4 linked regions of the Drosophila melanogaster genome follow. The protein of the gene in region 4 interacts with the protein of the main gene of each other region in a pairwise test. Each region holds a gene or a part of one and is shown on either strand. Other genes may lie near its edges.

Region 1 (6,611 bases), on a different chromosome or scaffold from region 4:
TGCCCCACGAGTTCTTCACCAGCCAGTAATCCTCGCCGGACTCGTCGGTGCCGAAGCCAACGACCAGCACACCGTGATCCAGATTCTGGGCATCACACTGCGGCTCGTTGTAGACGCCCTCCGAGTAGAACTGGAACGACTCGTGGGAGGCATCGATGGCGACGGAAACGGGACCAACGGTGGCCACAGCCTCGGCCATCTTCTTCTCATCACCCTGGGGAATATCGGTGAATCCACGATCGGTGGCTCCGACTGTGCCCTTGTTAAAGTGGCACGAGTCATCGATGGCCTCGTAGGGATAGGACTTCTCGGTATCGATGCCTCCATTATCCTTAATATAGCGGAAGGCATTGTCCATGAGACCGCCGTTGCATCCATTGTTGCCGTACTTGGTGGAGCAATCGACCAGATTCTGCTCGGACAGCGAGACGAGGACACCGGACTTGCGGAAATGCTGACCCTCGAGGGCGCCTGTGCTGGAGAAGGCCCAGCAGCTGCCGCAGTGTCCCTGATCCTTGACGGCGGTCACAGCTCCCTTGGTGCGCCAGTCCACAGATTTGGGCAGCGTCACATGAGCCGGCGAGATGAAGGTGACTCCCTTGAAGCTTTCATCGGCGGCACTGAAAGCGAATGCAAAGTTGAATATGTGCACATTATAATCCTTAACGATCCCAACTTACCGCAGTTGCTTGTGCAGAGTGTAGTTGAAGCCGTTCATCAGCTGACGGAATTCGTGGTGCAGCAAATCGGCGTACTTATTGACCGCCAGTTTGAAGCTCACCTTGCCCTCGGCGAATCGCTGGTTGTGCTTGGCAATCTTGTGCTTGTTCTCATTGAAGATCTTGAGGCGGAAACGCTCCTCGGTTTCATCCTGATAGTTCTTGCGGTGCTCCAGCTGCATAATGAAAAGTATTAGTATTAGTTAGATAATGCACTCTTATCAAAGGTAAGTGCTACTATCGATTGACTTTCGTGTACTTGTTTCAAGATAAGATAAAGCCAACCAAATGAAAAGTTAACTTTTTAGACGCATTTTTGGGAACTCTATTAAAAATCAAATAAAATGTTTTACGTAAAATGGATTTACGATCGCTGAGGCAAAAGTTCTTAATCTGCAGATTACACCTTATCACAGCGCCGTCAACCTGGCACGAGCGAAACGCTCTAGAGGAACGGCCACAGTAGCAAGCTCTATAAATCTATAAAACATGGTCATAAAATTGTGTTTAACGATTGCCCAACGACAGGAACTTGAAACGGGTGTTAATGTTCCAGGTAGTAAACAAACGAGCCAAACTGCAGGTAGGAATAGGAGAAGCGAGGCCAGCACGAGGAAATGCGCTCCATCTGCCTGCAGTGGTCCCGTGGATAAGAGACCTCCTCTCCCAGCTCGGGGTTGTTTGTTAGTCCGACCCGCATATTGACACAGCCACAGCACGAAAATAGCACGAACGCTAAACAAATGATAGCTATAAAGGGAATTGAAAGGCCAGGGCAAGAAGTCGACTAGGTTGCTATCCATTAGATTCGGCAAATGCCACTATATGGGGGTAGTTTTCGATTCAAAGTGAAATTTGTGAATAAAAATTGACTTCCTCTTGTCTGAATACCAAATTAGCGGCTTTGCATAGAATCGAAAAGTTTATGAAAGTTAAGTTAAGTATATAGAATTATTCAACAAAACTCATTATTACTGCTCACGAATATCCAAATAGCAAACATGCTAAACTGAAATGCATTTTCCAAAAGTGTTTATTGCTAAACTGGTTATTTTTTTGCGACTCTTCAACGCACTCAAAGTGGCATGTTTTCTCAGTGAAATATGGGTATAAACCCAAACCTAATCGCTTTTTAAGTGGCTCACCACAAGTCTTAGTAGATTTTGCAATATTCCAGGGTACTTGGCACATTGAACTGAACAGTCGAGTGGCGCTGTCATGTGAGAAACATGCATGTGTAATTACTTTTGGACATCAAAGCGGACCAGCATCAGCAATTGTCGCCCCAAATGGACCGGATGGGGTCCACTGGTCCGTGGTTGACTCCTATAATTGACATAATTGAATCGAATTCGAGTCTTGCAGCAAAATGAAACCCCGCCCGTTGTGATTTCGAGGGAGGAGGTGGTAACGGCAGAAAAGAGGCGCCTCCCGGCACACTGACCTATTGATTTTCCTTGCAAACGTCGTTGGTTCTCGTTGCCGCATGATAAAATTCACACATTTATTGTATACTTTTGTAGAAAATTTGAATTTGCGATATATGCAGATAGAGTTAACAACTTAAAAACACCGTAATTAAATGCACGTGCGATCCGATGTGATATCCAGGCACTCGACGTATACGTTTTGTATCTATCAATCTAGATATACTACATATGTGGCTTAGGAAACTTCGTTGCAGTTGAGAAGCTTGGACGATAGTAGTTGAGTATCAGAGAGCTTAGCTAGTGCGATCTCCATCCCTACAGTCGCTCCATCTCGATGGCACAGCTATCGTCCTCCTGATCCGCATCCGCATGCCGTTCCGTTGTCGAAGTGGCCGCATAGGAGGAATGTGGAACAGGTTGTTGTTGTTGCTGCAGCTCCTCCTCCTGGCATTTGTATTCCCGCCGCTTGCGCATAATGTAGGCGAAAACGAAGCCATTTATGACCAGCATGGCCAGGACAATTATCGTCGGCCAGACCACATCCACCGATACATCCAAATTATTTGCACTGGTATCGGTCATTCTTATGCTGTGATTGCTCCTCCGTGGTTTTTATGTAATTTATTTGCTATTACCGCCCGTCTCCCTGCGATTTCGTAGCACGTTTTTTACGATGACGCGCGTGCTTTTCCGTACTTCTACTACCACCGCTGGGGGCCCCGTCTGACTTGGCTCCTTTTATTTCTTTTCTCTCAAATGTTCTATATATTGCGCTCTGCACTGCTGCTGCTACTGCCTGCCGCTGGCTGCTCGAGCGTTCCGTTGGCGTGGAGCGTCGGTTCGGGAATAACAAAAATACGACAGAGCTGGCTGCTTCGCTTTTGGTGGTGGTGGTGGTGATGGTGGTGGTCCGCTCGCAAACGCAAACTCAATCGCATGACGGCGGGGCGAAAAAGAGCCGAGTTCACACACGCACACAACACACTCTACACTCTTTCTTCGTATCGCCGAAATCGAAATGAGAGCCCAATCTACGTAGGCCAACCAATTTGGAGGATGGCAGGCGGGCGTACTCTATATATTTCTTGTTTCTTATGCTTTTTCGTATATTTCCTTCTGTTTTGCAGCGCGCGCATTGTGGGTTTGCTCAAAAAGGCGAACCGGTTTCATTTTGATTTATAAGGATTTCAGGCGAGCTATTCAAATATGTTTGCTCCAACCGGTTAGCAGAAGTAACAGATTTAAAAAAAAACGAAAAAAAAAACAGAAACTTATGTATCTTTAATAAAAAATGTAAGAAAAGAGCCGCATGCTGCTTTTGCAAGTCAGCGAAATTTTTCCCAGCTTGTTTATTTACGGCAGCCGATTTGTTTGTGCACTTGTCACTCGGGGAATTAATGCTAGAAATCTCTTTCGGCTCTCGGAAATGCCAGCGAAAAATGGCAATTTGATAAGCAACGCCGATTTGTAGCGCGTCATTTCCAAAATGCTCGCGGCCCCCCGCACGACTTGTTCTTAAATATTGTTGTTGAATATTTGCCGAACTATGCGAATAGCTGCTTAAATTAAAACGCATTAATCTGGAATTTTAGAGCTTATCAGTGCCACAGTTGCTCAACGCTGACTTTTGCAGCTGTGCATTTGCAACCGACAACTGTGGCACTTTGGACTGCACACACATTACAGATAATGTCGTTTTTATTAACTAACTATAAGCAGTGAGAGCTAATGGTTGGCATCGTTATCACATTTAAATTGCGCGCCTTTCATTCCCCAAGCAAGCATGGGTAGCACTGTTTGCAGCAGTGTGACCGAGCGTTTGCAGTATTCTACATGACACCTAACGGTCTCGAAATGTAAAATGGCAAATGTAAAGTAATTGTGAGTTTATTTTGAAAAAAAAAAGAAAACTAAATCTAAACTAAATTAGATGATCAAAGAAAATTTAGTTAGGTAAATAATATATGAGTGGGGAAATTGCAAATGTTTAGTTGATTTTCTTTTTATTTTTAATTAAGGATGAGTAACTCTTTCCATAAATATGATTCCTATTCTTTCAGTTGATCAGACTTTGTTATTTATAAACAATAATTTAATACACCACTCTGTGCTTACTCTAACAAATGAGTCACTCAATTGAATATGATATTTAACAGCAGATAAAAAAAGGAAGGGAAATAAAGTTATATGCATATATTGCATATGCGGGTGCATTTGAATTTGAATTCGAAAAGTGAATATAAAACCATCAAAGGCAAAATATCCAAAGTTATTAAACCAATATGCATATATAGAGATGTACATATATCCCCCTTATCACATGAGATCTCTGCACAAACAGCTAATTATTATTTGTACGCCCCCATTTGGGGCTAATGACGCTTGGCACGGAACTATTCAGTAAAATAATGGAAAAAATCACGACCCCTGACTGTTGGCGATAAGAATTAGACGACACTAGGGGCGCATTCAATTAATCAATAGACAATCCACCATTGATAAGCAGACGAAGTTGCAAGTGAAGGCTGCGAGACAAAGGATGATTGGCCCAATCATCAATGGAACCATGGACACACATATATATGCAATAGAAGGGGGCAAAAATCGAAGTCGCATTAGGAAACATGGCTTGCGAAAAGTGTGATGGCAAATATGCGACCCGCGCCTTATCAGTCGGCCGGCAGTGGACCAGTTTGAGTCTTGCACGGCTTATCGGCGGGAAATGAACCGCGAGCGTAGCGAAAGTGGGCGACACAACGACTTGGATTATCTGCCCATCCAGCCGATGTTTACGGATGGGCTAAGCAAAGCAGCCCAGCTTGCCGCTTGCGGTCATGTGAGCCGGCATGTGACTGGACGACAGCCTAGACTTTTGGACTTATCTGAATCCTCCTTCCGTCTCTTTGAGGCAGCCGCGCAGCAGTGCATTCACACTCGCAATGGCTGCTGACTCAGAAGTCAGAAGTGCGGAATCGTCACAAACGGAAGAATGCCGCGCGTCCAACTATGCAAACAAAGTCGGACAGAAGACAAAGGCCCAAAAAAAAAATTAATGGATTAATCATCATTACACATCAAGCCCTTGTTACCGGAGAACACTTGTTATCTGCCTCTTCGGCCTGGCGAATTAAATATGATCCCTAGATGATCCGGTTGAAACTCACCTTGAACGTATGCCATTCCTCCATGACCACGTCGGCGAAGGAAACGGCCTGAGCCACCGCCAGCAGGGCCAAAAGTGGCAGCAAAACAGCTGTGCGCATTGTGATTTGTTCTGGAATCTGCAAGAAATCACACAATTAGTAAGCAAACTAACAATCGGAGTGTCGGTCACGTGAAGCCACTAAACCAGATTGCAAAATATCAGGGCTGGCTCACTAACTTCGAATTAAAGTAAAATACATATTCTAAGCTGCTCGAGCGATAAAGGAAAGTTGTGAATAAAGTCAGTTTCTTGCACTTGTTCATGATTCATACTATTAAATTGTGGTTAATTAGCATAATTTGTGCTATTAAAGTATTAGTTTTATCTTAGCAACTTTGTCATGAGCCTAAGCAATATTTTAATAAATTTCTAACGATCAAAATCACTGCAAAATATTTAATATTTATTGGGTAAAATATGGAATTTATTGCACCAAATTGCAATTTATTGCAAATTTATAATAAAAAAAAGGTTATTAATATTATTTATTTATTTGAGGCTAACTTAATGTATAAAACTATAAGCAATCTGAGATCTAGCAATAGAAGCTTTGTAAATATATTATTTTAATTCTTTATTAAATTCGTAACAGACATGGTTTTGAAAAACTAGTTTTTAAATATATCATTGTAAGCATAGAAAAGAGTGAAAATGAAAGAATAAATAACGGTTCAAATTTGAGAAATTTGATCCTTTAAAGAAGCTTCTCTCGATTTTAGCGTAAAATATTCTCTTTATAGAGACATAAAAATTATTTCTATAAAACTTGACTGATTTGCGGGGCGTTTGTAAATATATTGACATTTGCTTTGTGATAAACAATATAGTTTAATATTTGTTTTTTTTTATTTTTTCGATGGCGATGCGTTATCTTATCGGCCATTCCACTTTGCCTCGCAGCTTCGTATTGCTTTCAAAGTCTGCCATTTTTGCGCGATTTGCTTCACTTATTGTTTTTCTATCATTGTCTTGCTGTTTTTGCGCCCATTTTGAGAAACGTGAGAGGCATTTGATAAAAGTTGTTATTTACCAATTGTGCCCTCTGCGATTTGTGCCTAGTTCGAGGGCGAAAACGGGTTTCAAAAACGCCAAGGTGATTCATCTGGCTATCAGGTGAGTTAAAAACCACAAAGACTAGAAAAATGGGTCAGCACAAAGGGGAATTGGACAAAATCTAAACAAAGAAGCGCAACAGAATCTAAAGCGCAAAGCAAAAGGGGCAATAAAAACGGGCATAGACGAAGATGCCGACTGTTG
Region 2 (8,621 bases), on a different chromosome or scaffold from region 4:
TGAATTGTATAAAGTATAAGGTTCAAACTAACATCAATTTAATTGCAACCGATTTTGGTTTTACTTAATTCTGTAAATGCCGATTCCAGTTTAAATATTTGCCTGTACATACTAAAATAATTGGATTTTATTACGTCAACTCTAGTTAAGATTTAGAAATATCCAAAAAAGGAATTGGTTGAGCCGATTTCTCACCACTGGCGTTGCCTGTATTTAGTTTCTCACTATAAAACGATTTATGTTTAGCATAAATAAAATTAAAATCAACAAAATTATATTCGCTTTTAACAGAAATATTTTAAAAGTTTAATTAATGGGGGGAAAGGGAATGCGAGAATTTACTTTGTGTGATGCGTAACAATGAATGGAGATTACCCTCTTTACTTACATTAGATTTTTGTTTAAATTTTCCATCCCAAATGATATAACAAGAAATAAATTAGTTTATTTAAAGATTATTCACTATATTACAGAAATTTCAAATTTAAACTTGGTCTATTTCCATACAGTCAAAATACTAAATACTAAAGTAAAATAAAGTATATTATAACGGTGACGATATTTCCGACAGCTTTCGGTATATAATAACGCAAGCTGGTCACTCTTCCAAAACCTGCCAAAATAATTTTTTGTCAGGATTAAGTTTATTGTTATTTATTAAATAAAAAAACATGTGTGACGGCGATGTGGCAATTGCGGAGCTGGAATCCCGTCTGGATGAGGTCAGTCTGGAGGACATAGGTGCCAGACATCGTCGCGAGCGCAAGGATTTGCAGGCCAAGCTGCAGGCCATGAAGAAGAATGCGCCGAAAAATAATAAAAACAAGCGGAAGGAGTTCCTGGAGGAGATGGCTCGCCTGGAGGGAGAGCTGGAGCAGCGCCACAAGGCGGAACTGAAGGCAGCGGAAGCCATGGAGGCACCGGTGTTGGTGGAACCGGTCGTCAAAGAGCCAGCGGAAAAGCCAGAAACTGAAGTGACAGACGATGATGGAATCGAGGAAAAAGAGGAACAGCTGGCGCCCAATCAGCGTGTTTCCAAGGCACAGAAACGCCGGGACAAGAAGGCAAAGGAGGCACGTGCACGAGAGGCAGAGATCAAGACGGAGCTGCAAAATGCTGCCAATCAGCCAACGCCCAAGTTAATCGAACTGCAGCAGATTACAGCAAAGCTATCCCAACGCCAATTATCCCTTCACAATATACCCTCCGATGGCGACTGCTTATATCAGTCCATCAGACACCAACTTATCGTAAATGCTCTTCCAGGTAATGCTTCACGATTCAGTCCACACAGCACCAAAACTAATCCATAATAATTGCACCAAAGGTCACAGTGTTCAGGAGTTGCGGGAGGAAACTGCCAATTATGTGCGTGCTCACAAGGACTCGCTTATCTCATACATGATCCACCCGGAAACAGGAGACATTCTGAACGACCAACAATTCGAACAATACTGCCACGACATAGCAAAAACTCACGCTTGGGGTGGCCACATAGAACTGAAGGCCATCTCATCGCTACTCCGGGTGCCCATTGAAGTTATCCAAGCGGAAGGAGCACCGACGCTCCTGGGGCAAGAGGAATTCGGTGGATCACCGCTGATCATCTGCTACCACCGCCACATATACCAATTGGGTGCCCACTACAATTCCACGGTGCCAGCAGCCTAAACGGGAAATGCCCAATGGCATTTACCATCAACTCACTCGATTTTGTAACAGATTGTTTTATTACATATTATGTTGACTTTATAAATACGTATGCATTTGGAAGATTTGAATTATTGTCAAAAATTGCAAGTATGTAGTAGTTATATACAATAATAGTCAATATAATAACAATTCTAGGTTAGCTAGCAACTTAGTTAGCTGGATTTGTTCTAAGAAAATATTTCCTATATAGAAAAATAATTCGTTTAGCTCAAATTTAGTTTTCTTGTGGCGGTTTAGTGTAAATTCAAGCAATAATTTGATTATTCCTCAAAGCCTAGCTACTTATTACTTGGTAATGTTGTTGCAACAACCCATTATTTGTCCTTTTTTCTAGGTAAAGCGTTCGATTTCAATTATTTGTCCTTCTTGCTGTCCTTGGGCTTCTCGGCAGCCGGTTTGTTGGGATAAATAGCGAACATGGAGAGCTGAATGCCGCCCAGGACCAGCAGCAAAAGGTTCTGCAGCTGAAATAGAAGAATTTTCGGTTCAAATTTACATTCTCGTTTAATAGAATTAATTGCTAACTTACCACCATCACAGTATTCTTGATGGAGATGGCATACAGCGTCCAGGAAAATGCCACCAGATTACCGGCAAAGATAATCGGGAACGGCATTCCCTCGGTGCTCTTCTTCTCAATGATTTTCGGCAGATGCAGCAGGGGAGAGCCCACCATCCAAACCAGGATGCCGGTGATCAGCATTCCCAGGCGGAACTCAATCTTGGCGGGATCCTCGAAGTTGGCATACGCGGTGATGGCCAATAGGAACACCGAGGAATAGCCAATCTGCTTCCAGATCTTGCTCCTGCTGGCGCTCGAGGCGTAGTAGTAAAATCCGAAGAGGAAGACGAAGTTTATCACCAGGCCGATTAAATTCGTATTGATCATGGCAGCATCATTCATAATGTTGGCCAGCTTCAAGCTGAGAACGGTCCTAGAAAGTTCAACAATTTGTTAATTAGTTACTTTAATTTAGGACAAAATTTGGTTTTTATATTTAAACAAAAATGTAATACTGTTACCATTCATATTCATTTTAAAATATTCTTCAATATAAGGCTGGAAATTTTATAAATTCCAGTTAACTTGTAGATAAGAGCATAGTTTTCTGAGGATATTATAATTAATTCAAATTAATTGACCCTGCCCGAACCAGTTTTCCAGCAGTAAGTCGCTACAGAAAGTTCGAATCAAGAGAAATGGAACTAGTTTTCATTTAAAGTGCTCCAGTCTACCACTTCATTGAAAAAAAAAACCAGTTTACACTTATTAATTGCGTTATCAGATTCTATACTAGGTGGAGATAGATAAATAAGCATAATAGGGCCGGCGTGCAAATCATGGTACACGTAGCATTTGATAAGGAGCTCAACGCTCAACAAATAATCAGCATTATCATCGATCAACCTATAAACAAACCCACAACAATGGTGAAATACACCCGGGCTGGGCGAAATGAAATGCAAACTGGCCGAGGAACCTGCCCTTGACCGAGACCTCGAGCGCCCATTGGGTGGAGTGGAATTCGTTTAGCATACAACTGTTGCTTCGCTTGCATGTCTGCGGGTCCTTACACTTGACACAGTCCAAGTTAACACCTTCCGGAAAACCACCCCCAAGTAAGCCCCGGCGCAGTGATGGCACACTCACTTGATGGTACTCATTCACTTGCTGCCATATGGCACTTTATGATCTTTTGAGATGTTCAAAACAAACAGTGGAAAGTTTACGATTTAAAAATAAAAAGGTAAATTCCTCGAGAGTTCATCTACATTTAGTGCTTTAGCCAGCAGGAATTTGGAATTGTTTAAAGAAATGTATTATTACGGAAACTATAGTTAAAAAAATATTATGTTTTGCTAAGCAAACACTATTATTCATATGCAGTAATGGACAAGCCTTACGGCTATAATTAGAGAAGATTATATTTATAGATGACAAGATATTCCCATCACCACCACTGGGTGGCCCACCCCCTTTGGAATCTGGGCAGCCCCGCTTTATGCCGAGCACGTGGAGAGGGCGAGTCGCGTATCTTTCGCCCGTCGTATAAACGATTAGCGGCTCTCCCAGATTTGGACAGACTCTACCGGATCAGCATTCGTAATAGAGGAGCTCTAAAATTATACACTCTAGATAAGAGCTACGTGTTTGGAGGGTTCTCGCATCGATAAGGCGGCAAAAGTGCTGCTGGCGGATTTTCGACAAGGTTAACGATTTCGAAATGTAACGGTCGCGGATGATCGAAGTGTAATTCCCATTTGGCCAACGCAGTGATGTAATCGATTCCATTGTTATCTTCTTGAATTGTGTGCAAAACCGATTCACTGGCGGCCTTGAAGAGACTCGATTCTGTGCTGTCATGGCGACAGTTCTAAAATTTAATCAATTCCCACACAGATGCGTTGGCTTTTGTTCTTTTCACTCGCTTTTCCTGCCCCCTGCCCACTAGTTTTTTTTTCGATGTCGCATGCAGTGGAGCATCACGGAATCCCAATTAGGTTACTTACAGCACCACTCCGAAGAGAAATGGGCCCACCGGGTAGACGTCGCTGCTACCCTTCTTGCGGATGTCGTTCATCAGAACCACTCCGGACAGAAATTGCAGGGTAGTTATGGTGCCGGCTACCTTGGCGATTAGTTCGCTGTGTGGCGCCAAGAGATCCCCCAGTGCCTCCATGATTTCAATGACTCTCAGTTGATGCCTTTCAAACGGGTTATGTGGGAACGGGAGGGGGGCCGAGTGCCGCGCGAGTATAAACAAATGAACGAAAACAAAAACTAACGACCGACTGGCGGCTGCCGTAACAACAAACGAACAAATACTGAGCACCAACGGTGGGGCTGGCAACCTTTTATAATCGAGAATCCCCTAGAAATGGACGCGTCTCTCCGATTTTCCCCAAACGTTATCGCCCGCGAGGGCTTATCGGATACGAATTGAATTTCAAATTTCCGCGAAACGTTGCTGCATGGCAAAGCAAATGAGTTTTCTCTCTAGAGCAACAGGAGAGTATTCCTTAGAACTTATCAACATCTTCTTTCTTCTAGTATCACTGAATTAAAGCCAAACAATAGTTTAAACTAAGCAAATTCACTGATAACTTCGGTTTGACTTGACCAAACTGAAAGTCACTTGAGAACAATGATAGAAAGTGAGAAACTCAATTGAGATTAGGCTTCTTAATATATACATACATAGTCTCCTTACAAAAATCAATTTTATTCAAACTTATCCAACTACAGTCGTTAGCAATCATCCTCACACCTCCTCCTTCAGCACATGCTTCTTTTTCTCGCTGACGTAGGGCACCTTCTTGCTCTTCTTGGTGTGCTTGCGCACATTGGCCTCCTTGACCTGCTCCTTCTCCTTGACCGTGCGCATCTTCTTCTGTGCATTGAGCACGTGACGCGGCACCTGGCGATGGCGCGCGATGCGCTTGATCTGCGGATGAGCGGCATACTTTTGCTTCAGCGCCTCCTGGTAATTGAAATTGACGCGCTCACGTGGACGGATGACGCCCAGCTTTTCGGAGGCATTCGCCTTCCACATGCGGACGTTCATTTCGTCGGAGCCGGAGAAAACGTATCGATTATCGAGGGACCAGGCCACGCAGACCACATGCTGCATGCGTTTTGTGTGGTAAATATCCCGCGAGTGACTGTGGTGGGCATTGTAGATCCGAATGGTCTTGTCGTAGCTGGCCGAGACGAATTCCTTGCCAGTGGGCGAGTAGTCAACATCGGTGACAGCGGAAACATGGTCAAAGTGAACCTTCAGCGGCGTTTGCAGCTTGCGAGTGTCAAAGGTATAAAGGCTGTAAGAAATAAAGATTTTAGCAACACATCCTCTTCGTATGGCCGTTTTACTCACTTGCAATCCTCGTTGGCCACTGTGAAGTTGAACGCCTCCATGGGATTCCACGCGAGCTTGTTGCTCTTCATGGTTAGGACGACCTTCCTTAGTGGCTGCGCCTCTCTCTGATCGTACAGGATAATGCTGCGATCGCTGGCACAGCACGCCAGGATGCTTGTTTCCACGGGGTTATAGGATATGGTGTGAAGGGTATCGACGCCCCACTTCAATGTCTTCAAAGGATCGTTGTGCCTTTCGTCCCAAATGGCGCATACCTCGCCACAGGTGGCGAACTTGTTATCCCTGCGATTGTGCGAGATGCCGTGCAGTCCAAATTTACTCAGTATAGTGTTCACCGGCACCTCATCCTCGCCGACTTCCGGAGCCTCTGCTTTCCAAACCTTGATGGTTTTATCATCTCCCACGGTGAAAATGCGACCTCCGTTCTGGGTGTAAGCAATGCCGCGAACGAAACCGTCGTGGGCCACAAAGTTCCGAGAGCTGATACGATTCGCCAAGTCCCAAATGCGCACTTCGCCGTCATAGGCGCCGGTGGCCAAGGTGGAAAGTTGCTTGGGATGCTTTCCGAAGCAGGAGACTCCATCGCGATGCCCGCTCAAATTGCAGACGAAGGGTTTGGCAAATACTCGATCCAACTTGGTGGCATTCAGGGCACGCACGTATTCCCTGGGACCCTCCAAAGGATGCAGCGAAGGATCGTAGTTCCTGGGCACTGAAAGTGGCATTCTTATAATACTTTGGTCTTTCTTCGTATATGAACTTACTTTTGTGCTGTTGCAGTTTGGTTTCTCGGACATAGTTATCCGGATTGCGACTAATCATTTTCACCTTCATCCTGATTGCATTTATTAAGCTTTTCTGCGGCGTAAAATAAAATTAATCGTGAGTTTCGAACATAAACAACATGTGCGTGCTACAGTGTTGCCATACAGAGCGGCTGTCAGCTGATTGTGTTGAGTAGTGGGTGTGGTAACACTAATGCAAAACCAATAGGGTAACACTGAAATTTGAAATTTTGGAGGGAATTCTTCTGAGTGTTGTATGATCAATCAAATGCAACACAGTTCACGTTCATTTTATGCAAATGCATAATACTAAAAAATTTCTTATATTTGATTAATTGTACATCAACCTAGTACTGATAGCAACCAAAAACGGCAGCAATGCAGATAAAACTGCCACCATCAAAGGTGAAGGTTATGTAGTCATCGGACAGCTCATCCCAAATGGCGCGAGCTCCGTAGAAACATCCGGCTCCGGTCTGCTGGTAAAGCATTACGTTCACAACGTGCTTGAATCTTGGAGAAGAGCCGCGTCCCTTCATCTTAATGTTTATGTCATCGGCGACTTCGCGGGTCCATTTAAGGGCTTCCGATTGATTATAGGTCTTGTTTGCCAGCTTCTCCTTGACCACCTGGGCTATCATCAAGCGAATGTACGGCAATGGGAACTTCTTGCCGAATGCTGGTCCCATGTTGTAGTAGTTATAGATGGTGACATCAGATGCCGGCTTATCCTCATTCCCAGGCTCCCATTCTTCATCCGAGTCACTGTGGGACATTACCTCGGATCGGCTGTCTGCGCTGACCGCGGACGCTCGAAAGGACTCCTTTGCAGTCGACAAGGTTTTGGGTCTTTGTGTCGACATTTTTGCGATATTTTTATCTGTGTTTCGTTCAAATTCCAGATAAACTTCGATTGCAATAAGTTAAGAGAAATAATCAGACAGAACAAATTTTTCATGGCCATCTAGTTTTCCAAAGAAAACACAGTGATTGGTAAATAATAAGTTCAATTTTCGCTTTTTAACCTTTTTTGCAATTATAAAAAAATCTATTGTTTTGTTAGTTTTTTATTTCGCATAAACATATTTTTGTTATTTTTTTTTACACTTTCCATTGTCTAAATGACCCAATTTTTTCTAGTTAAAATATTTCAAAGTTAACCTAACGTTAAGTAGTAACCAAAAGTGAAGATTTAACGAGCTGAATGCCTGTAACGTCGAATACGAGGATGTCGATTGGAGAGATTCTGAATGTAGGTGTCACTACTCTGCTCTTGACTTGAGCGTTCCCTGGCCTTCGGTGTGAGCAAGTCATCGACTGGATTCTGGTTCTGACACTTTTCCATTTCCTCCTTTTTGCGCTGCTGCTGCTGAAGCTCGTGGACTTTTCGCAGGCAGCAGCAGTTCCTGAGCGCATCCATAAAGCACTCTAGATTCCTGCGAAAGATCTCCAGATTCTCCGGAGAAATGGGCGACTTCTCCGCATGACAACACTCATCGATGACCACCTGGGCATGGAATATACACTCGCTAGCCTGACCGAGTGTATTCTTTAGATTGAAGATTTGCTGTTTCTTCTTCAACTGCATTTGAATATAGCGAGTGCACAGCATCTCGAAACGGCGCTGTTCACTCCGGTACTCATCGAATAGCTCGTCGTATTTGGAGTGCAGCTGCTCCGTTTTGCTTTGAAGTACCTTGAGAGCCTTTTCCCTCTTGGCTAACTGCCGACGACTTTGGCGATGGGACACGGAGAGCTCAACGTAACTGAAAATGCGCCAGAATACTTAGTGCCTACATATGTATACCCTTTTCTAATATTGTTGAAAACTTACCGCTGTTGCATCAGCAGTGGACTGATGGAGTCGTACAGCTCACCAATGGAGTTCACATGGGAGCCACTGGGGCCCCTCTTCTCCGGATCGCTCTCACTCGAACTGGAGCTATCGATTCCCCGGAGCAACTGCACCAGTCGCTCGTTTCGCTTCCTTTCCGTGTCCAGTGAAAACACCAGTTCCTGAACCCGTTCTGTCTGCCGATCGAGGGCCATTCGGAGCTTGAACTCCTGCTGCCGATCCTCGTGAATTGTGTGCTCCAGTTCATTCACTAGTCGCAGTATCTGTTGGACGGTCTGCTGGTAGGGATTGGGCTCCTGGTTTTTGTTCAGGCTGGCATCAGTTGAGGCCAGATGATTTTCGCCCAGTGATATGGGCTCGTCCTCTTCGTCCTCCGAGGGAAGTAAGAGA
Region 3 (8,383 bases), on a different chromosome or scaffold from region 4:
CCTGCCCGACAGTCGACGACTCCTTTTACAACATCCTTAAGCTGCGCTTTATCCTGGAATTAAAAGGCAAGCAGGTATTAAAGTGGAGCTGCAATGTACCCGGCTTTTGTCTTTCCCAGCCGACTAATGAAGCTGGGCAAATGCATTTTGCTGAAATTCCTAAAGGATATAATTTGCATTCCATTCAAGTGGGTCGGGTATTTGAGGCATTTGCTTGGCTATTTGTATTTTTAATCAAGCAACATTCTGTTTGCCTTGCTTGTCTACAAACTAAACATGCAGTTCTTTTTTTTAATTTAATGGATTAATTCAGTAAGCTCTTTACGGATTTCGAAGCCAAGTTAGCTAACATTTTAAATAATTACACACTTTACTGTGTTGGCATTTTAATTATGGTAATTTAATCTCGGCTTTATATCTAAACTAATTACACAATATTCTGGCATTGCTTTGAAAAGCCAAACTAAAAGCTGGTTAAGCCTAAAATTAAAGCGCTTGAAGGTGTGCAATCCTCACCGTCTATGGGTGTATGGGTGTGTGCGTGTGTTTTTGGGGCAACCAATCAAAGTTCAAAAGTTCACATCATTGACAGCGAACAACTTTGGCTGCTTTGGCCCAACTCAAATTAAGAAAAGATAGCTGGCAAGCAGTAGAGACGCACAAAACTTTTATCATTTTCACAGTCCAAGAGAGAAACGAGAATAGTTAGTTACGAAGTACATACTTACCACCCCAAGCACCCGCAGTCCTGCGACAAGGACTCTTGTTCACCTTCTCGATATTGTCGCTTATTTAAGCTGCTTAATTCCGTTGCCAATGGCATTCGTATTCTTTTTATGCCCTTCCGAGCTAACAATCAATCACAGCCTGGCTGACGTCTGTTGACTCCCGGCCAACAATGCATGATGCAAAAATGCGTCGCATTCGCACCTCCATTCCATGGAGCAAAGGCCCACAGGACCAACAGGACTCGCAAATGCCAAAGCCCCAAGCCAATCAGGCGGAAGGTATGGGTGCGACTGCAGATCTGTGGGCACGGAAAATGCCTTCGATGCCCGGACACACACACACACACACTGCCTACCAGTGCTGCCCTTCCGCCACCTCGTTGGATGAATCTGCGTTCTGCGTTCTCCGTTCCTGAGCGCCGTGTACGTGGAGGCATGAAATTGGGTCGCCTGGCGAAAGGCGGGGTTCTGGGTCATCGTCGTGGCGGAGCGTTCCGCACGGATTCGGTCTCGGATTCGGGCAGCCGCAGTTGGAAAAGGAAAATGCCAACCATGAGACAAAGATTGCGGAACTAAATTCCTAAATAACATGGAAATCTATTTTGGGTATTTAAGAGGAATGTGTAGTCCTTGCATATGCAATTTTGCAATTGACAATTTTTGGTTGCTATCGGTGTACACTTCAAAAAAATCATGTTAAAAAAATAAGCAAAAATAGCAAAAGTAACTTTAAAAAATATATTACTGATATTTTACAATAAAAAATCAATAAAGTTGATTAATCTAGAAATGTTTATACCGTTTCATTAAATTTAGTTTCATGAATTTATACCATGTTAAAAATTGTGATAATTATTTATTAAGAGAAAATTATTTCTTATGAAATAATTGGGAATACGTTTGCTGAACTTTTTTAGTGTGTAATCTTTAGTGGCAGGATGCGAGTGGTTCGGTTCGGATTGTGGCGTTTGCTGGGCGTTGGGTGGTGAGTGGCCAAGGAAGGAAGCCAACGCGCGCTAAGCGCCGTCGCTTGATGGAGCTCATCATAATTTTTGGGGCGCCATGGTGGAAAGCAGAAGGGAAACAAAACAAATCGAAGTGGAGCGAACAAGAGCAACATGTTGAAGAGCGCGCGACAAAAGAGAGAACGGCGAGAGCGAAAGCTTTTTCGCAGCTTTTCGAGTTTTCGGCACTAACCTTCATCTTGAACTTCACGGAGAGGAGAGCCATATGTTTGTGTGCGTGTGTGTGTGTGGGTGTGTGAGTGGGTGGGTGGTTCGGTTGGACGTATGCTCCATTTCTAGGCCAAGTCTCGACCCCCTTTTACCATCCTTGGCCGTAAAAACATATGCAACAGGAGGGAATTCATTCATGACCAACCCACACCATTAAGCAGCGGATAATCGTAGTAACAGACGGAGCTTTGGTAGAGCAAGTTTCGTATTGCCCAAAGAAGTGCCATTATGTTATAGTTCTATAATAAATACTTATTAAAATCTTCTTGAAAGTGCAATACGCATATGATATTCACAATATGTTTATTAAAAGACTAATAATATACTTTTAAAATGGTAAAAAAATTTAAAAAAAAATAATTTCATCAAAACATTGAAGTTAAATTTGAATAAATTAATTTTAAGGTTTGAAGTACTAATTAACCACTTAAACATTAGACAAATATTTCTTAAAGAATATTTTTATAACAAATAACATCTTTTTTATACGACCATGTTAAAACTTCTTTGTTTTATGCTAGAGGAAACACAATAGTAATTTAAATTCTTAACTTGACACAAACTTATGCTATATATTCTGAATTTATTAAATAAAATATGTCAGTCTTTGCAGAAAGCATAAAAAAAATTTGAAATTCAAATGTTCCTAACGGTAGAACTCCCTGTTGAGCTTTGTTGAAGAGAGTCGGGATGTTGGGAAAAACTGAAGACTGAACCGACCGAGCTTTCCACACACACTCTCGCTCTCTGCGGCTCTCGCGCTCTCACGCACACCATTGCCAGCTCTTATCAAAGGACAACGGCTGGCTGGAAGCCAAGCCAGCCAGCAGGACTCGCATTGAGGATAGCACAGGAGCAGCAGCAGGAGCAACAGCAACAGTGCGATGGATGCACGGCTTATAAGGTAAAGACCGAAACTGGAGCAGCTCAGTTCGCTGTGGGCAGGCGTCGCAGAAGGTAGTAGCACTATTCACCCAGCGGCAACAGAGGAAGTCCAGTCGGCAGCCGAGGGACCAGTCAGTCTCCCAGCCAGGAGTCAATCGAATCAAACAAAAACCCAAAAAGAAAAAGAAAGATCCTAGAGCAAAACCGACGGCGGTGTGAAAGTGAGTGCGCGAGTGCCAAATGAAACGTAAACGTAACGAAACGAATAAGCCAAGCAAAGCAAACTCCTCGTCCCTAAACTAAAACAAATTGAATTGAATTAAATTGGGAGAGAGGTGGAGCTGCAGCAGCAATTAAAACCAAATTGCTTGCAGCTAAACGACGAAGGATAAAAGGGGCCAACCGACGGGATCCGCCCGTTTATGTCACGCTGCATTTGCACATAATTGCAAACTGTTGCGCGGCCTGCAGTTTCGCCTTTTATTGCCAGGCAATAAAATAAAAATCCATTTGCCCGAAACCATTACACTCCCTTTAAAAAAAAAAAAATAAATCCCACGACAACTGTTGCACACAGGACACAGTATACACCACATAGGACTTAGGACGGACACACTGAACGCCATACTACACCACACTGCACTTGGGGGCCACAGGACATAACCATTTGTTTTACGATCTCAGCCTTGGTCATGCCCCATTAAATATGCTTCTCAATGTTTTGTTCAAGTTGAAACGGAAAGCGAGAAATGAGAAATGAAAAACGAAAAACGACATGAGAAATACCAAATACGAAAAGTGCACAATCGAAAATTATGCTAAAATAAATATTACAAAAGAGATCCGCATAAAAGCGAAGTAGACTAACACAAAAAAGAAAAAGTACAACAAAAAAATCCTGAAAGCAGAAGCAATTTGCATCAGAAATTCCGTGTTCTGGTCAAAACGGAGCAGCGTGTCAATTTATGCAGCCATAAAAGTTGAAGGCGAACTCGAGAGCAACCGAAACGGAAAAGGATTCCCATTCACCAGGTGAGTCCTTGAAACAGTTTTGCACTATTCACTCGAAATGGTTAATAAATCGACAGTCTGCCAGCGACATTCGCAGTGCAATTAATGATAACAACCAAAGCATTCAATGCTCTTTAATTATTCATGCCAGTCTTCATTATTGATTTAATCCTTGTAAATTCCGCGCACGACTAACATATGTACATATGTGCGATATAATAGTGAATACATGTATTATTTACACCTGAGGGTCCTTTGGGATTGCGAATGTCCGGCTGAAAGTAATAACATCAGACTGAAGGGGCGAATCGATGATATAAAATCCGTTTTATTATTGCAATAAAGTATTCACGCAATTTTTGCAAATCAATATTTATGTTCGCACTCAGTCGGCGAACGATGCATTTGTTGTTAGGATAAATCCCGGAAAGTCGAAACGGCGCACATGGCGTATACGTAATGCGTATTTTCTTTAATCATGGCAAACAAATATTGACGCAACGCAAGCGAGCTGGCCGTAATATTTTGATGATGTGGATGCCTTGGGCGCATTTAATGACCACCGCTTCCTTATCGTACCAAACTATTATGGCCACGTACACGAGTATTACGCGTATTAAATGGAATATGTCGTCTAATTTGCTGCCGTATATCATTTAACCGCGCTGCCTGCGAAATGTGCAGCTGTTGTTTTTATGGCTTTTGCTCGGTTGGTTGGCTTGGATCGGTTGCATGGCCTAGTGGGGTATATAGAATAACAAGTGTCTGCCAAGCAAAAACGTAAACAAAAACAGCAACAGGCCGATGGGATCGGTACATCCGCAGTTAATTAAAACTCAACTTCAATTTGGCAACTGTTCAGTCGCGGCTGGCTAATTAAATTTATGCAAAATCCGTGTCAATAGCACACACACACACATACACACACGCAGCTGTAGCGGAATGCAAATTTCAAATCAAATTAAGCAAGTAATTCCACGGTGGCCCACCTGGCGTATGAGTGCTGCGGCTCAAGTGGTGCCATCTGTTTAGCTTTGCTCCATAGCAAAGGCAAACAATTAGGAGGCAAGTTAAAGCTGAAGGACTGTGAATGGGGCAGGTTCATTTGAATACCCTTAAAAGTGATTAATTTTCCTGTCTAACAATATAACCCTCAATCAGCTCTAAAAATAATCTTGAAACTTTTCCCCACAGACACTAAGAATTGTTTACGAATATAAGCTTCACTTACCAACAAAGGATGTGACCTTTGATAAGTTAGGGTATTGATAAAAGGCGGCACGGTGAACAAACGAAAAGTGTGGCACCGTGCTTTCATGTCAACTTTGTTAATTAAATGAAGCACTTAACATCGGCGGACATATTTCACCCTTTTTGGGGTGAGCTGCGTTTTGTTTTCCCTGTTTATTTTTTTTTTCGTTTTTCTTTTTTATTTCGCTGACTACATAATTCGGTGTACCAGTTCCATTTTAATGACTGTCCAGTTCCGTACTTCTTATCATAATTTCCATTTTGACTTCCGTTCGCCGTGCTGCCACTTCTGTGCTTTATTGCTCGTCCTTGTGCCGCCCATTCCAAAGATTTTTCGAAATATTGTCCTTAGACTGGGCAACTTCAAAGGATTCCGTGGGCCACTGTGACTTTTGCCTTTTTCCGCTGCTGTTTTGCATAATGGTTACAAACAAGTTGTTTTTCAATTTCATTCTTCCGACGCTAATTGCAAGAAAAATGTTTAGTTTCGATGAGAGCACAACTTTTGCTACACTTTATTATTTACAGTTTATTGCTGTTGGACAATTTGTGCTATTTTTTCGGGCTATTTCCATTGTTTTTGACATTCCCTGTTTGTTTTGCCAGCTGCAATTGTTGTGGTTTCTGTGGTAAGTTTGTTAGGGAATGGCTTAAGGGTAGTGAAAAAAAAAAACAAATGCACACTGTTTGCAACGCAAACCACAACTTTATTGCATTCAAATTTGTATTTCCAACAAGTTTTTTTTTGTTTAAATTGAATAAGAACAAAGCGAAAACAAATAAAAAACCAATTCTATGCAATATGGGCAATCGTAAAAATGTAAAAACAAATGAGTTTTGTATTTCTTGAAGAATTTATTTTGTTCGTACGGACATGAACCATAATTGATAAGGATTTGAGTTCTTGGTCTAGATAATCTTCAAATATTTTTTACTTTTGGTACATAAATTAAAATGGATAGTTTGGATAGTATCTTGTAAACTTTAATCCTTTAAGGTCCTGGTAAAAAGTTTTAGCTCGTATTCGTTTGGCCTTTCGTATGCCATTAGTAATAGGATCTAATTTGGTTTTGTTAAATTTCGAAACTACCTACATGATGGGTCCTTTTTGTGCGAAGCTTCTCTGTAAGGTTGCCATGTCAATGAGCTCACTTAGATTCAGTATTCCATTCATATTGCTCTAATATGCGACAACAAGTATCCATCATTAGCTTGATATTCCCATATCGAGTTTCCACCTCCTTCCCCTTTCAATTTCCGATGACCTCTGGCAGAAATGTCGCAAAATATTGTCGCCTGCTGTGTTCCCAAATATTTGTGTTATGTCGCCGACGATGAGCGTCAAATCAGAATTCGATATGTTCAACAGCCAAAAGACGGTTGGCTATGTGCTAAAAGCAAATGGAATTCGCAGCTGAATCGAATCGAAAATACCCTTGTCACAGCAGACGACATTACATCAAAGAGTCCTTGAAGGAGTTATTAGCATGCCCACTGAGTTATGAAGGGTATGACAAAAATGGGCAATTAACCTTATCAAGACGCTGCGTGCTAGTAAAACAAGGAATGCCAGCGAAGATGTTTCCTTAACATCGTTAAGATTTCGCAGTAAGTAAAAGCGACACGGCGAAATGAAAGGAAAAAACAAATAAAACAGGACGAAACCGAAGCCGTAGCCTAAAATATACGCCATTAGACAGACGGAATGCCAAAGCAAAGGCAAAAAAAAAGTAAAAAAAAAAAAACAAGGAGTGGGCGAAGGGTCCTTCAACGGGGTGGCAAAGGCAAAAAGCAATTTCAAATATTTTCGTTACCTGCTTGTAGAAATTTTTACGTTTTTCTGATTACGGAGCCAAGCTTTCGTTGCCTGCTGCCTCTTTTTTTTATTGTTGTTGTGTAATTGTGCGCACCAAAAAAAGGGGGGAAAAGTGGGGGAGTTGCCCAAAAGACGACGGTGAAATGGGTTAAGGGGACAGGCAAGCTGTGGAGCAGGAGAACCTGAAACAGCTGAGTGGTTGGCAGCACTTAAGGTCCGACTCCAAGGCTCCATTCTAGACATTTGAAATGCAAAGAAGCATTGCATACTTTTCCACATCCAGCGAAACAGCATGGAGGCAAAAAAAAAAACACTGCATATTATAGCAGGTGCACTGGCATTTCGATGCAGCCCAGAATGGCAGCGAATGTTCCTTTCGAGGACCGGATTTGTCAACCAGCCAACAGGACGAAGAGGTTTGCTTATTAACCATAGCATACTTAGCAGCTGAAATGGAAATGCTGGCCAAAGTATGCTGAAGAAGTCGTTGAGTTGTCGTGGCAAAACTTCAGATATAATTGAGATTTGTTTTAATATTTGTGAAATGCTCAGAGAAATTTGCGTACTAAATGCACACGTGAATTGGGTTGAAGAGGCAAGTTGGCAGTCATCAAAGGATTGAAGGAAAAGTTGGTTAGAACTTTTCTAAGGATTAAAGAGCTGTGCAAAAAATATTCTTTGCTGTAGCTTTGAAATCCAGAATAAGTGATTAAGTTCAAGCTGAGTAAGGCATTTATTAAAGTGGTAAAAAGAGCTGTCATAATAGAATGGCGCCCAAATGTATGCAACATATTTTAATTTTGCTCAAAATTCAAAGCATACTTTTAAACATTTTTAAAAGTGCCTATATTTTGAAATATCAAAATAGTAGCCATATATTTCCAATTTAAATGGAGTTCCATCCGCATGTCTGGCTCTGTTTATATTTAGCTCTGCGGCTTAATAGCTTCATGTTCATGCAAAACCGGAATTATCCTGCGGAAAAGCTGCTCGCCTACTGCTCTTTTCGATCTATAAATAGATTCAGCTCCAGCTTCAACTGTTGCGCAGCAACCGCCAACTAAAAATAGCAGCCAGCTGTGCTCCATCGCCGAACGGCACAAAATCCAATAAATTCAGCTGCGGACAAAGCCGAATTACTCGACACGTCCTGCGTCCTACACAAATGTCGACGTGTTTTAGTGTAAACACACACACACACCATACCGCTTCGCTTTAGCACTCGAATACATATTTGTTTAGCTGTTGGATGTTTATCAGCTTGTCGCAAGATTGATTTATATGCCCTCTGGATTATTAATGGACGGGGCCAAGTCAATTGAAAGGACTCCACAGGACTCGGCTCATTCATTATTGATACCCTGCATGAAAGTGACACACACGCGCACCGTCATAAATACAAAAGAAAAAAAAAACCATCGGAATTGGACATCCATTTGCTTTTTTATCATATTCAA
Region 4 (6,522 bases):
TTAATTGTACATTTTTATAGATGTGTTTTTGTTGAAAATTTTTCTAAACTAATTCATAACATATAATGAATTTTCAGTTAATTTTTACAGGATTTTTCGTTTTTATGATATAAATATATTTAATATGTAAACTGCAATTTCAAAATTATTTTATTTTAATTTGTTCAATTTGCTCTCAGTGTGCCACAGTCCGACTGTGCGATAATCGCACATCGATAACACTCGATACACACACCAGCTGTTCCGCCCGCTCCCCCCGCGCACAAAAACACCTGCAATAAGTATATTATCATTGCGAAAACCAAGTGCAACAGCAGTTCCCCAGTCAGCCAAAGAGGCAAATGCATCGCCAGCAGCGGAAGATGGATCAATAGAGCGCGAGTCTGCAACCCCTGAACACTAATTGGATTCCCCCGGGCGCTCTGCCCACCAGGAAACGGATATCGCCGACCAGCTCGGCTCAGAAAATCACTTGCGAGATACACAACAAAGAGGCGAAAAGAAAAGCATGAAGGCTAGCAAGACACGGGCTGTGCGCCTCACCAGTTTGACGGAGGACGTGGCCGCCGTACCGGAAGATGCACCATTCCGTGCACGCCTGCACGTCCTCTTCGCCCAGATCGAGCGGGAGTTCGAGCAGCTGTATCTGGAGAACCAGGCCCGTAAGTAGCTATATAATCCACAACTCCTTAAGGTCTCGTTCATAAACTTTAATATTTATTGCTTACATATGTCAAATTTTGTATAGTGCACGCATGATTAAAGCCTATTCTCTGTTATAGTGCAGGAGAAGCTAGACATAGCCACCACCACCAAGGAGTCATTGATTCCACCCGATGCCAGATCCGCAGCAGGAGGTTCAATGAGCACTCAGGCCTCATCCGCAGCTTTGGCCACGCCTGCAACCCAGACGGATGAGGTGGCGGGCAGCTTCCTGGCTGCAGCATCCAGTACACACAAGAGCTTGAAGGCCAAACTAAGCAGCGCTACCGGCGGCAGCAAAGCCAAGGCCAGCAACAAGATCAAGGCCCAAACCAGCCGCATTGTGTCCAGCTTTAAGGCGCCCACAGTGGTCAGCACGGTGGTCCGAGAATTCGGCGGCCACAAGGATGGCATCTGGCAGGTTGCCGCCAAGGCGGGACAACCCATCATTGGCACCGCCTCCGCCGATCATACGGCCTGCATCTGGGGCGTGGAGAGCGCCAGGTGCCTTTTGCAGTACCAAGGGCACGCCGGCTCCGTAAACTCCATCAAGTTCCATCAGCAGCGAGATCTTGTGCTCACCGGCAGCGGGGATGGTACTGCCCACATCTGGCAGGCGGCCGTCAACTGGGAAGTGCCCAAGTGAGTAACTTTGCAATATATTTTATAGTAGTTCAATAATCGTTGCATGATTTTCAGGAAGGGCCATTCTTCAGAGGAGGAACTGGACGACAGTGATGAGCAGGTGGAAGATCGCGATCGTGTGGACACCTTACGCACTCCGCTCTGCGAGTTCACAGGCCCCGGCGGTCATCTTTCAGTCGTGGTGGCCGCCGATTGGCTCTCTTCGATGGATCAAATCATCACGGGCAGCTGGGATCGGACTGCCATCCTGTGGGACGTGGAGACTGGCCTGCCACTGCAGCCGCTCACTGGGCACGACCACGAGCTCACCCACGTGTCGGCACATCCCACCCAGCGCCTGGTGGTCACCGCTTCCAGGGACACTACGTTCCGTCTATGGGACTTCCGAGAGGCAATCCCAGCGGTCTCCGTCTTCCAAGGGCACACGGAAACGGTTACGTCCAGTGTGTTCGCACGCGACGACAAGGTGGTGTCCGGATCAGATGATCGTACAATCAAGGTCTGGGAGCTGCGCAACATGCGATCCGCCTTGGCCACCATTCGAACGGATTCCTCGGTCAATCGTTTGGCGGTCTCCACTGGTGGAATTATCGCCATACCGCATGACAATCGACAGATCCGACTGTTCGATTTGAACGGGCAGAGAGTCGCCCGATTGCCACGGACCAGTCGGCAGGGCCACCGACGGATGGTGTCGTCTGTAGCGTGGGCGGAGGAGCCGCTGCTGGACTGCGATCTCTTCTCCTGCGGCTTCGATCGCCGCGTTTTCGGCTGGTCCATCGTTCTTCCGAAGGACAATTGAAGGCAACTGAAGCGGAGAGCTGCTGCACCAAAGGAATGAGGAGGCGCAGCTCTGCGAAATCCCAAACATCTCTCGAACAAAGAAGCATCCCCAAAGCGATGCCCACATACTTACATATATGTAACCGTTTATCATAGATCAAGTATTATGCAGACATTGTTCAGGATGTTCTACTATCTCGTTGTCGCCCACTGAATGTAATTAACGTTGCTTTTTGCCAAATAGTCGTGGCATAGCGTGCTGCACGAACTACATATTATCATTGTTATAGCATACGTATGTATATGCGTTGGGACTGGGCTAAACTCTTCGGAGTGCAGAGCTTCCGATGTCCAGACCCGATTTTATCTGTGTTTTACTACCATAATACATATTATAGACGTCTAAGGCATTAACGCTTTAGCCAACATGAATAAACATAATCAACCACCCGATTCATCGCTGGGTATATCCTAAAACTGACCTTTTTGAATTGGAAGTGCATTTTAGTGGAGTATATACATTTATAAGCTTATTAACTAGGACAAAGAATTCGTAACGATTAATAGGTATATATAGTCCATCGCCTGTTTGGTGGTTACGACTTTGGAATAGAATGGCATTGGCTCACAGGTGAGCGAACTTCAGCACCAGCAAGCCGACGAGTATGCCCACCTCCAGAATGATAATCAGGATTAGGATGATCTTGTTGTAGAGCACCTCCCTGCTCAACTTCCGAATGATGACCCTCGATTTGGACAGATCCTGATCGGCGTCCTCCAGGCGGCGCGTGGTGCGTAGCAGCGACTCCCTCTGCTCGCCCAGTTCGCCGAGTACCTGTTGATGCGTAAGCGAGCATTAGTTAGCCCTGTTAATGGCTACTATCTGGGTAATTACCTCCGCCCCCATGTTCTCCGTTTCGATGGCAATCTGGTTGGATCGCTGGATACTGTCCGTCGTCCGCTGTAGCACGTCGTAGGTGCTGGCCGCGAGCTGCGCCTGCCTGCGCTCCTGGTCGCTGCCGCTGGGCAGCTGGCTATAGCCGGCGTAGGACATAATTTGGTAACAGCTTTTAATAAATTAAATGCGATGCAGTGGGAATATCAAAACAAAACAAAGGCAGAGTGTGGCCGTGGTGAGCGGTGCAGTGAAAACGCTATTTGGTAAGGTACTAACGCGTTGTGCGTGGAGCCACCTGTTAACACTTTATGCACTTTACAGCACTTAAAACAGTTGAAATTTAAAATGAAACTGTTACCAAATTAGCTTAATATTATTTTATATTCTAAATTCTAATTAAAAGTTTAAATTGTAAGAAGTGTTAGTTCAATTGGTTTTTTTTTGAGATTGGCTTCCTCACTATCAACAAGCACATCTAGTTACTGCAAAAATATCACATATTAATGGTGATTAATTGGGTGATCCTAAGAGTGATTAGGTTTTTGGAAACTGACCATTTTTTTGGTAGACACATGTAGCACTCGAGGATTTTGACTTTAGTACGGGTATTTGTCGATTTCTGATTTGCGATAACGGTCACCGATCATACATAGTTGGCATGCCCGCGCCGAGAGAGCCGCCTGAATTCACAGGGTGTGTGTGCTGAGTAACAGAGAGTGCGAGGCATTTCGAGGCGATCGCGAGATTTTCGAACCGAAGTCGCGGCAGCGAGTGCCAAATTTAAACGCAGTCGATCGCTGGCGGTGAGCAGACGTGTGCTGCGCTCCATTCAGATTCAGATTCGAATAAAGATACTCTCGCTCGGCAACAAACAAGTTCTAAATTTATCGCTCGCACTCGCGGGGAATCGAATCTGGTGTGTCTTTGACATAAAAAGCGTTTTCGGAGCTGTGAAGGTAAGCGAAAAACTCGAAAAAACTCGAAGCAACTGGAAAAACCCGGCGGGTTCGAGGTGTAAAAGCTGTGCCACGGGTTATCCACCCGTATATATCCCATATCCCCTGTAAACTAGCCATCCAAAGCACGTGCTTTGGCAGCAGGGAGTATGTGCAATTAAGCCCAATTTGAATGCACTTTGGCACGTGATGCTGGCTGCTGACAGCTACTGGTCGGAAAAGTGAGCTTACTGGGGGCTGCGGGGCACACCTGTCATGGGACCCATTGTGCAAACACCTGCCAGAAGTCGCAGCTAAAGTCAGAGCGGCAGATACGCGTAGCGCTATCTCTTTCGTAAGCCCCGAGTATCTCTGAGATACTCAGGTACGCACCTACTACGTTCGCAGTGTGTGTGTGTGTTAGTCGAACCCTTGTCATGTGAATATAATACTCTCCAGAGTATCTGTGAGTCGCGCTCTCTTTGCAAAGTCGCGAGTTTTCGAGTTTTATGCAATCATCATAATCATATGGGGGGGTTCTATCATGTGATCTTTTTCTCGGGGTCTCGGTTTCCAGAAGCCTTGCGTCCCCACAAAGATCTCCAGCTGGAACGGAAACCCTAAAAGCTGGGCTCGAGTAGTTGCGAATAGCGCACAATAAATACCAGTCGATTATGATTTATGGATCGCTCTATAAATTGTCCAATGGCACTTCCAATCGATCAATCAGTATTGCGCTGATTAGCCACAGTCGCAGACCCAGTTTATGAATGGGGAAAATCTGATCGATTCTAGAAATCTAGCAATTTCACATCTGAAGTATAGTATTTTGCCGAGTTGCACACAAGTGCTCCTGGTCGATCGTCCAGTTAATTAGCTATATAAAGCCAAAGCCCGGCCACTCGAGTCGCCGATCTCCAGTTACGTAACTCTATATGTATGGCTTATCGGGGAAGTGGTCGGCAAACACTGCAAATAATGCTGACTTTGATGGCTTATTTTTCTGTATTCAATAGTATTGCGTAAAGAGGCTATTTATAAGGAGTTGATACTAGCCGATTTATTAGCTGGCTCCTGTTTTACAGCTCTATATAATTTTGAATTCCCCCCATTAGTTCGATAATATATGAGCATAATCATCTTTGTGACGCAATGAAACGGTTTCTTCGCACAGAAGCAGTTGAAGAAAATGAATTGAACTGACAATTGGCGTTAATAAATGATGGTGCGGACTGTTTTTGTTCCTCGATCGCCTCCACTGTGGATTCACATTGAATTGGTTCGGTTATTCGTGCCAGCGAGTTCTTAATTACCCGCAGTGGAAAAAAAATGGTTTTGTCATAAAACCGAGCGCAAAGGCACCATAAAAACTAGAAGTTATATTCGTATTCGAATTAACAACAAATAGCGAACGGGAGAGCCAAAGCGCAGAGCGATAAAGAGAGAAGCAAACAAAACAGAGCGCAAATTCAACGAAACTTCGAAGTGTAGCGATATTAGCCTACTCACACATGGGCGTGCGCCCGCTCCCAACAGCAAAAAAGGGGGGTTGTCAATGTCAACCGCTCGTTCGCTCTCTCGGCGCCGCTCCCTCGCCCACTCAGCACCTCCTTCTCCACTCACCATCGAATAAATGTGATTAAGGCTCACCCACAACTCGCGTGTGAAAGCCAAGGAGCAGCTACAACAACTGAAACAACAACATTGCATCTGAAGTACAGTGCAGCTTGCTTATGTCGCTCCGCTCAGTGATAAAAGCTGAAGATTATTATTGCTCTCACAGCTATTGTTCTTATTGCAATTTGGGAAGTCTTACATTTCACCTTCTTACTTATTGTCGCAATAAGTAATTATTTTAATTAAAGACTTCTGGACATTTAGTAATAATAAAAGTTTACCTGTACATCGTGATAGGCGCACCCACACTCACGCACACAAGGCTAGATTGACCAGCAAAGCAGTGAAGAGGTGGAGAGAAGAAAGCGGGAGAGAAAAGAGAAGGCGAAGAGAGCGAACGGCACTTAGTTGTTGTTTTGAAGTCGAACTGGTTTACAGTTAGCAGTTAGCAGTTGCCTCTCAGCTGGCTCAGTGTTTTTTTAGTGTTCGAGCTGTGCGTGTGAACTGTGATATTGCGATATTGGGCTATCGCAATTGGAAACTGGACTTTTGGTTGAATTCATTATAAACGAAAGTGCGCTCGTTGAATCATTAAACAACATTTGAGCAGGCGAGTTACAATTCTATTACCGGTTTTTTTTTTAAAGCCAATCGAGTTTTGGAGGTAATTCTCGTCGGCGGAGGTAAGGGTTTCATGTGAATTTATACTAATTTATTGCATTTATTATAATTGGAAGCTTAGTTTTGTTCCTATATATTGCACAGCAGTATATCTTTAATACTATATATTAATTCTATTTTGAGTTCAGAGAGAAATATAAAACTTGTAAATAGGTTTCATATCTACATATAATGCCTAGGTTAAAGTCTGAGCCATATCTGTTTCCGCTTTTAAGTGATAAACCTTCAATAGTAAATTACCTCAAACAATGAATTATAAAT

Evidence for each region.
Region 1: the proteins of Vti1b (region 4) and CG42806 interact in a two-hybrid assay, tested with the Drosophila melanogaster proteins (one large-scale study listed by BioGRID).
Region 2: the proteins of Vti1b (region 4) and CG7272 interact in a two-hybrid assay, tested with the Drosophila melanogaster proteins (one large-scale study listed by BioGRID).
Region 3: the proteins of Vti1b (region 4) and unc-13-4A interact in a two-hybrid assay, tested with the Drosophila melanogaster proteins (one large-scale study listed by BioGRID).

Annotation. Positions count from the first base shown.
Region 1 is NT_033778.4:13,961,039-13,967,649, reverse strand, and holds CG42806 (uncharacterized protein), read right to left. Parts: upstream 2,998-6,611; 5' UTR 2,732-2,997; coding exon 2,465-2,731; 3' UTR 2,195-2,464; downstream 1-2,194. Other genes in the region: CtsL1 (cathepsin L1), read right to left, coding at 1-620, 681-895, 5,314-5,430, 6,385-6,456.
Region 2 is NT_037436.4:15,496,864-15,505,484, reverse strand, and holds CG7272 (uncharacterized protein), read right to left. Parts: upstream 4,548-8,621; 5' UTR 4,395-4,547; coding exon 4,225-4,394; intron 2,649-4,224; coding exon 2,243-2,648; intron 2,178-2,242; coding exon 2,067-2,177; 3' UTR 1,716-2,066; downstream 1-1,715. Other genes in the region: CG7857 (uncharacterized protein), read left to right, coding at 672-1,266, 1,328-1,671; CG7275 (uncharacterized protein), read right to left, coding at 4,977-5,532, 5,589-6,303, 6,356-6,425; CG7276 (uncharacterized protein), read right to left, coding at 6,724-7,239; CG13455 (uncharacterized protein), read right to left, coding at 7,569-8,142, 8,211-8,621.
Region 3 is NT_037436.4:7,307,426-7,315,808, reverse strand, and holds the start of unc-13-4A (unc-13-4A), read left to right. Parts: upstream 1-2,912; 5' UTR 2,913-3,069; intron 3,070-3,578; 5' UTR 3,579-3,880; intron 3,881-8,383.
Region 4 is NT_033777.3:18,396,454-18,402,975, reverse strand, and holds Vti1b (vesicle transport through interaction with t-SNAREs 1b), read right to left. Parts: upstream 3,268-6,522; 5' UTR 3,185-3,267; coding exon 3,026-3,184; intron 2,966-3,025; coding exon 2,756-2,965; 3' UTR 2,637-2,755; downstream 1-2,636. Other genes in the region: Wdr37 (WD repeat domain 37), read left to right, coding at 509-662, 783-1,344, 1,402-2,149.